Saccharomyces cerevisiae S288C: one gene and its partners. Changing the gene in region 1 together with any one later gene gives a genetic interaction. Each region holds a gene or a part of one and is shown in the gene's direction. Other genes may lie near its edges.

Region 1 (4,849 bases):
TTTCCATTGGCTCGTTGCCATTTACCAACGAAATGGTTTTTTTCACTGTTGCATTTGGATGTAGCAAGCTTTCCACAATAAAAGAAGCTACATCCTCCCTGTTAATGGAGTAGTTAACAGAAGCCTTCTCTTCTAATTTGTCAAGGGGTTGCAAAAGACCGGTACCTTTATTTAGTTCCAACGATCCAGGCTGTAAAATAGTGTAATCCAAATTAGAGTTTCTAACCTCACGATCAGCAGATCTCTTTGCAATATAGTATTCACGCAAACCCTTAATGTTATACCAAAAATCTCTATCCTCCGCCTTGAGCGCTGAAACAACAACGAACCTTTTGATACCAGCCTTTTCGCATGCTTCAACAACTTTGATACAGCCATCCAGATCAACCGTGAAAATTCTTTCCATTCCTTTACCACCCGCACCGGCGCTAAAGACCACGGCATCATAAGCCTTAATAGCGTCTGTGATCTCACTAACGGACGCGTTTTCTATATCTGTCAAACTAGCATCAACACCTACTTCATTCTTGAAATAATTGACTTGATCCTGTGTTCTAACAATCGCTAATGGTGTTGAGAAACTATCGTTGGCCTTCAATTGGTTTATCAATAAACGTCCAACTTTACCACTGGCACCGACAACCGCAACTTTCATAGGAGACATGGCTGTTAAGTCAATAATATATGAATACCGATGATATAACTTCAATGAATTTTTATTTGGAGGGAAAGTATCCTATTATGAGCGTCACGATGGGACTTTAAATATATATCCCTACTTCGAGTGTACCCTTACGTAATACTTGCAGCCCCTTGCTGTTGACAGCGCGATACAATTTTCGTACTAAACAATCACAGAGGTAACAGCAAAGTTTGGAAAGTACTTTTGTTGGAAAGTTATTACGGCCACTAACATTGTCTCGTCGTATTATTAAAAGCTATAACGTCGTATTTCTTTGCTCGCTTGTGTTTTGTGATACAGGAAACACACACCAACAGGTTCACCGAGGGCTGTTGTCTGTCTTTGTACTTTAACTCAAAGAACTTCTGTTTCACGATTTGTATTAATAGTTCTTGCAGGCTACTAGGCTGAATACGTTAAAATGGTTAGCAACGAATATAACCAGAAATACTTCGGGTACAATTCTGATACGTATATTTGTAGATATGTCTCGCTTGATGTTGCCAACTTTGTCAAAAATGGTAACGTATGGGCACACGGAATGTGCTAATCCTCGACTTTGCTCTTTCGTAAACCAATTTGATGCAAGTGCAGCGTGGTCTTTTGAAAGTGCATTATCTCATTGGGCGATGCGAAAACTCTGCCTACAGAAGTTCGCCGTTAGATAATTCTGATTGTAGAAAACCTACCAAAGAGAATAAACTAAAGTGTCATCTGCTAATTTATGATCTTATCGTCTGAGTGATGATGTATGTTTCTCTTTGTACGGTTCGTCTTGTGCTCATGTACGTAACATCCTCCATATGTGTGAATTATTTTGTCCGGCGTCTTGTTTGAATATCCCATCCGGACGTATTTCTTTATAGGATAACGCATGCACATATCGGTTCGTTCAATAAGAAAGTCCCTTCTGGTATTATTCGGTGTCCTGTAAGATCTATATACTAATCACCAAGCTATCTGGTGTCACATTGTGAATACATTTGTCTTTTGGTCCATTTTTCCCCATCATTTTCTCGTGAAAACGATCTCTAACTTTTGCCACTATAGTTTTAAAGGAAAGATTTTGAGCTGCCAACGAATACAATATAGCACACTCAAGAGTCTTGGCAAGCAACTTTAAAGTTAGAAAGAGTACTAATGTTGCTACTTTCTTGGTCAAGAATTGCTACTAAGGTAGTTAGAAGGCCCGTTCGCTTCCGGTCCTATTACGGCTTGACCCATATCAAGAGTTTACATACTCAATATCGGCTACTCAATAGGCTGCAAGAGAATAAGAGCGGTAACAAGAACGAGGACAATAACGAAGACGCTAAACTTAACAAAGAAATTCCCACAGACGAAGAGGTTGAAGCAATAAGAAAACAAGTAGAAAAATATATCGAACAAACTAAAAATAATACTATACCGGCTAACTGGAAAGAACAGAAACGCAAAATTGATGAAAGTATTAGGCGTTTAGAAGATGCTGTATTGAAACAAGAATCTAACAGAATTCAAGAAGAAAGAAAGGAAAAAGAGGAGGAAAATGGTCCTTCAAAAGCCAAGTCAAACAGAACAAAAGAGCAGGGCTACTTTGAAGGTAACAATAGCAGAAATATTCCACCGCCACCACCACCTCCTCCCCCAAAACCACCTCTAAATGATCCTAGTAATCCTGTATCGAAAAATGTTAACTTATTCCAGATAGGACTAACTTTTTTCCTCCTTTCGTTTTTATTGGATCTCCTCAACAGTTTGGAAGAGCAAAGTGAGATAACGTGGCAGGATTTTAGAGAGAAACTATTGGCAAAAGGTTATGTTGCGAAGTTGATTGTTGTCAACAAGTCCATGGTGAAAGTGATGTTAAATGACAACGGAAAAAACCAAGCCGACAATTACGGTCGCAACTTCTATTATTTCACAATTGGTTCAATTGATAGCTTCGAACACAAACTTCAGAAAGCACAGGACGAACTGGACATTGATAAGGATTTCAGAATACCTGTACTATATGTTCAAGAAGGCAATTGGGCTAAAGCTATGTTCCAAATTTTGCCAACTGTTTTAATGATTGCAGGTATTATTTGGTTGACAAGAAGATCGGCACAAGCAGCGGGCGGTAGCCGTGGAGGCATATTTGGTCTGAGTCGTTCTAAGGCTAAAAAATTTAACACTGAAACAGACGTTAAGATCAAGTTCAAGGACGTTGCCGGATGCGATGAGGCTAAGGAAGAAATTATGGAGTTTGTTAGCTTCTTGAAAGAACCTTCTCGTTATGAAAAAATGGGAGCTAAAATTCCTAGAGGTGCGATTCTATCTGGTCCACCAGGTACCGGTAAAACTTTGCTTGCAAAGGCAACAGCAGGTGAAGCCGGTGTTCCGTTTTATTTTGTTTCTGGTTCAGAATTTGTAGAAATGTTTGTTGGTGTTGGTGCAGCAAGAGTAAGAGATTTGTTCAAAACTGCAAGAGAAAATGCACCCTCAATTGTGTTTATTGACGAAATTGATGCTATAGGAAAAGCAAGACAAAAGGGTAATTTTTCAGGTGCCAATGATGAGAGAGAGAACACGCTAAATCAAATGTTAGTAGAAATGGATGGTTTCACTCCAGCTGACCACGTTGTTGTTTTAGCTGGTACCAATAGACCCGATATTCTCGATAAAGCATTATTAAGGCCTGGTAGATTTGACAGGCATATCAATATCGACAAGCCCGAACTTGAGGGTAGAAAAGCCATTTTTGCTGTTCATTTACATCATTTGAAACTTGCCGGGGAAATTTTTGATTTGAAAAATAGATTAGCGGCTTTGACGCCAGGCTTTTCTGGTGCTGATATTGCCAACGTTTGTAACGAGGCCGCCTTGATTGCTGCTAGAAGTGATGAAGATGCAGTAAAATTGAATCATTTTGAACAAGCTATCGAAAGAGTCATCGGTGGAGTGGAACGCAAATCCAAGCTACTCTCTCCCGAAGAGAAGAAAGTAGTGGCTTACCACGAGGCTGGTCATGCTGTATGTGGATGGTACTTAAAATACGCAGATCCTCTTCTGAAAGTCAGTATTATTCCACGTGGCCAGGGCGCCCTTGGTTATGCACAGTATTTGCCAGGTGATATCTTCTTACTAACTGAACAGCAACTTAAGGACAGAATGACCATGTCTCTGGGTGGAAGAGTTTCTGAAGAATTACATTTCCCATCAGTTACAAGTGGCGCATCTGATGACTTCAAAAAAGTTACTAGCATGGCCACGGCAATGGTCACAGAATTAGGCATGAGTGATAAAATTGGCTGGGTCAATTACCAGAAGAGAGATGATAGCGATTTGACAAAACCATTTTCGGACGAGACAGGTGACATTATTGATTCCGAAGTATACAGAATCGTCCAAGAATGCCATGACAGATGTACAAAGCTGCTTAAAGAAAAAGCAGAAGATGTAGAGAAGATTGCTCAAGTACTACTGAAAAAAGAAGTTTTGACAAGAGAAGATATGATTGATTTACTTGGTAAGCGCCCTTTCCCAGAAAGGAATGATGCTTTTGATAAGTACTTGAACGATTACGAAACGGAAAAAATCAGGAAGGAAGAAGAAAAAAACGAAAAACGTAATGAGCCTAAGCCATCTACAAACTGATTGATATTTCACAATACAAAGAAATGGAGGAAGACTGTTCTACATATCTTGCTTATTTTATTGAAAGCCAGACATCTTTCTTTTTCGGTAGAACACTGTCACGTATTTACCATATAATCTAATCTGAAAACATGTAAATATATATACGTGTATAAATGCACCTATATCTATATATGATCAAAGCGCTTCTGTGAGGCTGTCATTGGTTAATACACGCGATCTTTTTTTTATCGCTGATTCCACGGCTTAGCCTATCTTATCTTCAGTATTCGCATGATACACTTTTTCACTGCGTCGTTTTGTTGGATGATATCTGTCCGACAATAAACGTAGGTCATCTTAAGGGCCGGTGATAGAGAAGAGCATGCGGTTCCACTTTAGGCCAACCCACATTCCCAAAATATAAGAATACAGCAGCGATTTTTTTCTATCGAATTATTTTGTTTTTTGTCTCCTCTTTGTTCTTCACTAAGCTCAGAGCCCTAGTTGTTGAGGGAACAAGAAGAATGCAAACACTAGACGAGACTTCAAATCTACTCCCTCCACCTG
Region 2 (2,815 bases), on another chromosome or scaffold:
TGTACTATAATTATTATCCACACATCGTAGCATATTTTCAGGTGCATCAATACCATCGACCATGGCCCACAGCCGAAAGAGCCTCCATGGGATCAAAAGTTTTAAATACATAATGTTCAAGTTGAACAGCGCGATCATAGCCTGTTGCAAGGGTGTATCATTGTTCCATGCCTTGGTCCTTGCTATTGCACCCACATAGATATAATGTAGGATAATTTCCATCAAAAGCAAACTCGAAAATACTTTGAGGGCATAGAAGCCTATGTTTTTTTTCGTTAGCGAAGGAAGCTTATTTTCTGATTGATAAAGGTAGTCATTAAAAGTGATAATTGGGCCCACTAAAAACAATGGCGCGTAAGTAATATAAGCGATAAAATTGATAAAGTTGTAATCCTGGATGTGATGTTCTGCTACCAGTCGTTCCTTTTCCTCCAGAACATTCTTACCTGACTCATAAATGGTTTGTAGAGTAGAACCAGATAAACTTTTTCTGAATTCAGGTCGTCTATCATCGTAATCTATCGAAGGTTGGCGGCTCAATTGTTCATGCCATCTTTCCAAAAAATCCATGGAGTAACTTAACAAACGCAATAATGTAAAATTGAAAAAAAAATCCCATCGAGGAACGATACCCTTATACCATTGATCCATGGGACTTAGGATGATAGCAATATTATTAAAGGGGAGATTTTTCATTTTTTGATTGATGAATAGTGTAAAGATACCATAGGACCAAATCGCAAAAGCGGCTATCAAACGCTTTCTCTTTAGCGAATGTGCCAAAGTGAAGAAAATAAAAGCATGCGTAAAGAGCTTAACAGAATTGATCCCGTACATGAAACAGACAAAAACTAATCCACACGCAAAATCGAATTTTGTTTTCGGAATTTTACTAAATTTAACAAAAACCTTTTTTAATATAATTTGTAGTAATATTAAGATGGCCAACAAAAAAAAATTGGATCTAAAAAACCTATACTGAGGATCGCTGTTATCCACTTTGCGGCCCAGAATCCAACCATGGGCTAGCAGTCCGCTGAATTTATAGTAGTTTGGATTAGACTCGGAGCTCGTAGCCAATGCCGCCTTTATCATGAAAGGAACTACTACGGTGAACGCCAAATAATATAGTCTAAATTCCCATGTATTCCATAGCGGAGGAGATGGGCTATTAGAGCTGAGCACAGGGTTACGGGTAACAGTAACGGCACTAGAAGATGAACCATTCTCTTCTTTAGATGAATTGATAAATATCCTTTGTCGCCTTTTGAATTCAATGTCTGGCTTTATTCGTGAATCAAGTGCCTGCACGGAAAAGAAATGTACGATGCAACTCCAGATTCTTAACATCGACATCTGACTTGTAGCGATGACGTCAATTATTTTTGAGCCCTATAATAAGGTAGTTGAGAAGACAAATTTGAAGCACCCAAAAACCCTCAAAACAGTACCTACCTCAAAGCTAGCTTCTCTTTCTTCTTCTATTTGACTTCATTTTTTCCATATTCACCATTGGTACCTTCCATAAACAACTATAACGCAGTACAAATGAAAAAAGAAGAAAAAAAAAAGAAAAAAAAAGAGACCTAAACGCGCCAAGATTACAGGTAAACGAGTAGAACTTTGATCTATGTGCCTGAAAACCCCTCGGGCACAGGGTTCATAACGAAAAAAAAAAAATCGTAAGTAATGGTAACCATAGTAACCGATGCATGGGTTTTAAAAGTCACGTGCTTAAGTCCATTAAGACCGGAAACCTCTACACCAGTTCTCCTTCTGCAAGGGTTTTCTTTTTTTATTTTTTTTGATGGGATGGCTCTCTTTCCCCGTGTTTGTACTTTTGATATATATAGGATATTCATCAAAACAGCGTTTCGAACTCAGCGCTTGCACGATAACATAAGCACCTCGAGACACATTAGGAAAATTTAACATCCTATTTATTTATTGAATTTACAGGCACGGAAGGCCAATTAGTTTAATTCAGACACATATCATGAGAGCAGTCACTAGAAACAAAATAGTCAATAACCTATACTTTTCTACATTTCTCATTGCATTCGCATCAGTGGCCATCGGTTCTGTGCTGCCATGTCCAGCACATTCAGTGGATTCTGATTCACCAGCTGTACAGCAACACAAGCTTCAGCTTGCTCATGAGCAGGAGTTAAAGAGGAAGGATGCTTTAAGTAAAAAGATTTAAACAGGTACGGGCTATCTGGAACTTTTGATAAGTTGTATTCTATCTCTTTTATTTCCTCTTTTTATTTATTTTCGAGTGCCGTAATCTTCGCTACTTCAAGTTTCATAATCAATCGACTTTCTGTATGGGTAAGCATCTGGTGTGATGCAGTTTCATTATGACACCACAAATACAAAAGAGACTATTTAAATATGTATATAGATCACATTCCAAAAAAGAAAACCATTAATAATATCACTCTTTAATATTCCAAATTGAAACGAAAAAGCGCTATTCTTATTCGCTTCCTAACTACCGCCCTAGTTCGTGCTTGCATTTTTTTGTAGAACGATAAATTATGGTATCCCACGTGATTGAGTGTAACCCTGAATTGTTGAAGAGAAAATGAAGCGGAAGAAGCAAAGGACAAAAAACAATTCATTTGATTTTGCCACTTCTAAATGAAGGTCTAATAAAAGCTATCTTGAGCATCTTTATTAGATTCTGCACAGCAACAAGCGATTTTCTTTGGTCAAAATATAATAATTGACTTACGTTTTTCCCGGACTGTCCTTTCATAATATAATAACCATCTGCAAGCCATGTCAGATGAAAACCATAACAGTGATGTTC
Region 3 (5,213 bases), on another chromosome or scaffold:
TATGTTTCCGATATCAGAGCTCATTTGGCTGAATACTACTCTTTCTAAGCTGCTCACCCAACTGAAACTTATCCAGTTGAAATTGCAGAAGCTGTTTTCAACTACGGTGATTTCACCACCATGTTGACTGGTATTCCCGCCGACCAAGTTACCAGAGTTATCACTGGTGTTCCATGGTACTCCAGCAGATTAAAGCCAGCTATCTCTAGTGCTCTATCCGTAGACGGTATCTACACTATCGCAAACTAGAGTCCCTGCTTTACGAATGAAACCTGTACAGGTATGAGAGGTTACGAAAAAAAATGATAAATGAAAAAAAAAAAGCTTAATAATATGAAATTAATAGTATGAATAGTTAGGCGCATGTATATAAATATAAATTTTTGTATATATGTATTATTAATATTATAAATTTCTTATTATTAAACCATCCTTTACGGAAATAACGGCCTATTCCCTTAGTATTTTGTTGTAGCTCGTGGAGTTATCCATTTTAAATGGATCTTGGGATAATTTTTACTGCTTCCCTCGTACTGGGAGCTTAATACACGTTCGTCTTGTTATCATCATAAATATGTGTTTATTATTCTCGCCTGGAAGGAAATCTTCAGTATAAATTCGTGAGGAATTTAGAATATAAATAATTCAATCATAAGAAAACATAAAAAGATCAAGTAAATAATAGAGGCATACAAGCATAACCAAATAGTACTATAAACAATTTTAAATTACACGTAAGAGATAATGGGTTATAAAGTATGTTTTTTTAAGCCATTACTGCAGCGTTCTTTATCATTATTTGAGTTCGAATGTGGAAAATGACGACTGAAATTTATAAGATAAAATATTCGAACTATATAGAAGAAAATTTTACACTCTTCGCCTTTGAAAAACATGAGTGAATGTCCTTGATCGTTATTTGGCCTTCTGAAACTGTCCATATGGGTTATTTTGAGTTCCTTATAAAGGCTTGGCGCATTATCGAATATCGTTTAGTAAAATTTATGATCCACTTGCATCGGCATGGGCATGAGCAGTACTCATTACAAAATCCAAATCAGTGATATTTACAGTAGTCACAAATTACTGTTATTTTTTATCCATTTTTGTAGTTTTTGTACAAATATACTATTGGAAATAGAAAAAAATTCCTTTGAAAGGATCAATTTTAAGTGGTAAATAGAATGAACAAGCCCAGGACAATGGATTCAGAAGGGGCCTTATCGTGTCTCATAGATATTTTTCTTCTCGGTAACCTTTCAGTAATTTCTTGAGCACGAACTCGAAGCGTTTCATCAGGTATTTCATAACTATGCATGATTTTTGATGGCTTTGCATCATATTAGAAGAAAATTTTGCAGCTGAAGAGCTCTAATACGGCTTTTCTGTGGTCGTAAAGACAAGGCTGTTCATAACGCTTGTTGCCATTATGTAGCTTTGCACATCTCATATCGGTAAGGATGTCGTTTGTCATCTAGCGGCGAACTACTGTAATGTAATAATGTCCTCTGGCGTCGTGTATGGAAAAGAGGCATAATCAAAATTGGGCCTATCAACTCATTAGCACTCTATGCTATACTGTAGTGCTCTGTGCGGACTTTGCTGTGCCATTATAATCCTTTCCACCTTGCGATGGTCTTTCCGCTTTTCTTGCTGTTATTTTTGTATACGGGAGATCTGCCTCACAAAAGGTATATCTTCTACTTGGAGGCTCGAGGAAGGACAAAACACACATAAGCACTACCCATTTTCCTGGTAAGACTATACCATGAACAGTATGGCCGATACCGATAGAGTCAACTTGACTCCCATCCAGAGGGCATCTGAGAAATCCGTGCAATACCACTTGAAGCAGGTCATTGGGAGGGGTTCTTACGGGGTAGTTTACAAAGCCATTAATAAACATACTGACCAAGTCGTGGCAATAAAGGAGGTCGTGTACGAAAATGATGAGGAACTTAATGACATTATGGCAGAAATTAGCTTGTTAAAAAATTTAAACCATAACAATATTGTTAAATACCACGGCTTCATACGAAAAAGCTATGAATTGTATATCCTCCTCGAATACTGCGCTAATGGTTCTTTGAGGAGGCTCATTTCAAGGAGCTCTACCGGATTAAGTGAAAATGAATCGAAAACCTATGTGACACAGACACTATTGGGGCTGAAATATTTACACGGTGAAGGAGTCATCCACAGGGACATCAAGGCGGCTAACATCCTGCTGAGTGCTGATAACACTGTCAAACTTGCTGATTTTGGCGTTTCCACTATTGTGAACTCCAGCGCCTTAACGCTAGCGGGCACACTCAATTGGATGGCTCCAGAGATCCTGGGCAACAGGGGAGCTTCTACGCTCAGCGACATTTGGTCTCTAGGTGCCACTGTAGTTGAAATGCTCACAAAGAATCCACCCTACCACAATTTGACAGACGCCAATATCTACTACGCTGTTGAAAATGATACCTACTACCCACCTAGCTCTTTCTCTGAGCCACTAAAGGATTTCTTATCTAAATGCTTTGTGAAAAACATGTACAAGAGGCCGACAGCCGACCAGTTACTCAAGCATGTGTGGATCAACTCTACCGAAAATGTGAAGGTCGACAAGCTCAACAAGTTCAAGGAGGACTTTACCGACGCTGATTATCATTGGGATGCCGATTTTCAAGAAGAGAAACTAAATATATCACCCTCTAAATTCAGTCTTGCAGCGGCTCCCGCTGCCTGGGCAGAAAACAATCAAGAACTAGATTTAATGCCCCCCACTGAAAGTCAATTGCTGAGCCAATTGAAGAGTTCATCTAAGCCTTTGACGGACTTGCATGTGCTTTTCAGTGTTTGCTCCCTCGAGAACATCGCTGATACAATTATCGAGTGTCTGTCGCGCACAACTGTTGATAAACGATTAATAACTGCATTTGGCTCCATTTTTGTTTACGATACCCAGCATAACCACTCTAGGTTGCGACTGAAATTCATCGCTATGGGAGGAATTCCACTGATCATTAAATTCGAACATTTAGCCAAAGAGTTCGTCATCGACTACCCTCAGACTTTAATTGAATGTGGAATAATGTATCCTCCGAATTTTGCATCGCTGAAAACCCCAAAGTATATTTTAGAACTCGTCTATAGGTTCTACGATTTAACATCCACAGCCTTCTGGTGTCGCTGGTGTTTCAAACACCTCGATATATCACTCCTTCTGAATAACATCCATGAAAGAAGAGCCCAATCCATACTACTAAAGCTATCGTCATATGCACCATGGTCTTTTGAGAAAATTTTGCCCTCTTTAATTGACTCTAAGCTAAAAAAGAAAATTTTAATCAGTCCTCAAATTACTTACGTAGTCTTCAAATCAATAAACTATATGATAACCACGAATGACGATAAAATACACAAGTCCGCTATTCCTTCTTCTTCCTCTCTACCGTTATCCTCCTCACCCACGAGGAACTCACCAGTGAATTCGGTACAGTCTCCATCAAGGTCCCCTGTTCATTCTTTGATGGCAACGCGTCCCTCTTCTCCAATGCGACACAAGAGCATTTCAAACTTTCCCCATCTGACCATATCTTCAAAATCAAGACTACTAATTGAATTACCGGAGGGTTTCTTTACCTGGCTAACATCTTTTTTTGTTGACATGGCCCAAATCAAAGATTTATCTGTTTTAAAGTACTTCACCAAGCTTTGTTACCTTACAGTACATATAAACAGCACTTTTTTAAATGATCTGCTTGACAACGATGCTTTTTTTGCTTTTATCCGGAATATTGATACCATCATTCCCTTTATCGACGACGCAAAGACAGCAGCTTTCATTTGGAAACAAATCACTGCTATATGCGTTGAAATGAGTTTGGATATGGACCAAATGAGTGCTTCTTTATTTTCTACAGCTATGAATTTCATCAGAAAAAAGAATAACACCTCCATAAGTGGACTGGAGATCATACTGAACTGCTTGCATTTTACGTTACGCAATGTAAATGATGATGTGGCTCCTACAGTGGGCTCATCAGAGTCTCATAGTGTTTTCCTCATAAAGGTCAACAATGACGCTGCTATTGAATTACCGATTGATCAATTAGTTGACCTGTTTTATGCATTGAATGACGATGACGTTAACCTCAGTAAACTAATTAGCATTTTCACGAAGATATGCTCATTGCCCGGTTTTGAAAACCTTACAATTAATATCATATTTCACCCGAACTTTTATGAAAAGATTGTTTCTTTCTTTGATACCTATTTCAACAGTTTACTTATTCAAATCGATCTATTGAAATTCATAAAGCTAATATTCTCAAAATCGTTATTGAAGCTATATGACTACACAGGACAGCCGGATCCTATAAAGCAAACCGAACCAAATCGTCGTAATAAGGCCACTGTTTTCAAACTTCGTGCCATTTTAGTACAAATAACGGAGTTTTTAAACAACAACTGGAACAAGGATGTCCCAAAAAGGAATTCAAATCAAGTTGGGGGGGACTCAGTTTTGATCTGTCAGCTATGTGAGGATATCCGTTCATTATCAAAAAAAGGAAGCCTGCAAAAAGTTTCAAGCGTCACTGCAGCAATTGGTAGTTCTCCAACAAAAGATGAGCGTAGTAATTTGCGATCCTCCAAAGATAAAAGTGACGGCTTTTCCGTCCCCATTACAACATTTCAAACATAATGTAGGAATTGCATGTGCATACATACATATATAGAGAAATAATACAGCATTACATTAACACTATATATAGAATTGTGAACCTTCCAATACTGAAAACGCATCTGTTTGGAAAAGAGATCAGAAAAGTTTTTGAATTTAAAGAGGCCAGTAATGATAAAAAAGCATATACATATATATGCTTTTTTTCTTTTCTTTTTTTTTTCAATTGGGGATTAAATGTATGAACGACTCAAAGTGCATTTTGTTAAATGTTTCTAGCTATAGATCAATAAATCTGAAATACGATATCTGACATGATTGCAGTGGCACAGTCTTCCGATAGGTTACAGCCAAGTTTTTTTTTTAAGGTTTCTGAATTTTTTCATTACGTTTCCTAATTAGGTTAAACGTAAATAAAAGCGACTTTTCAAAAGAATATCAAATCATATAACATGAAAAGAGCAAGATTCACAATACTAATTTCAATGAGAGTGCTATTTGATAATTGAATCAATTCTCTGTGTGAGTATGCATAGACGAC

The links.
Region 2: of YTA12 (region 1) and COA2, a mutation in one rescues a mutant of the other (synthetic rescue), as found in Saccharomyces cerevisiae (2 studies listed by BioGRID).
Region 3: mutations in YTA12 (region 1) and CDC15 are lethal when combined (synthetic lethality), as found in Saccharomyces cerevisiae (one study listed by BioGRID).

What each region holds. Positions count from the first base shown.
Region 1 is NC_001145.3:445,060-449,908, reverse strand, and holds YTA12 (m-AAA protease subunit YTA12), read left to right. Parts: upstream 1-1,822; coding exon 1,823-4,300; downstream 4,301-4,849. Other genes in the region: YMR090W (uncharacterized protein), read right to left, coding at 1-664; VBA1 (Vba1p), read left to right, coding at 4,807-4,849.
Region 2 is NC_001148.4:187,695-190,509, reverse strand, and holds COA2 (Coa2p), read left to right. Parts: upstream 1-1,996; coding exon 1,997-2,203; downstream 2,204-2,815. Other genes in the region: GUP2 (putative O-acyltransferase), read right to left, coding at 1-1,356; NAB3 (Nab3p), read left to right, coding at 2,785-2,815. UniProt on the Saccharomyces cerevisiae protein: Required for efficient assembly of cytochrome c oxidase in the mitochondrial inner membrane. Seems to be involved in the SHY1-mediated step of cytochrome c oxidase maturation.
Region 3 is NC_001133.9:171,691-176,903, reverse strand, and holds CDC15 (serine/threonine protein kinase CDC15), read left to right. Parts: upstream 1-1,768; coding exon 1,769-4,693; downstream 4,694-5,213. Other genes in the region: seripauperin PAU7, read left to right, coding at 1-48; serine/threonine protein kinase KIN3, read left to right, coding at 5,201-5,213. UniProt on the Saccharomyces cerevisiae protein: Protein kinase of the mitotic exit network (MEN) essential for late nuclear division in the mitotic cycle. Promotes mitotic exit by phosphorylating DBF2 and directly switching on DBF2 kinase activity.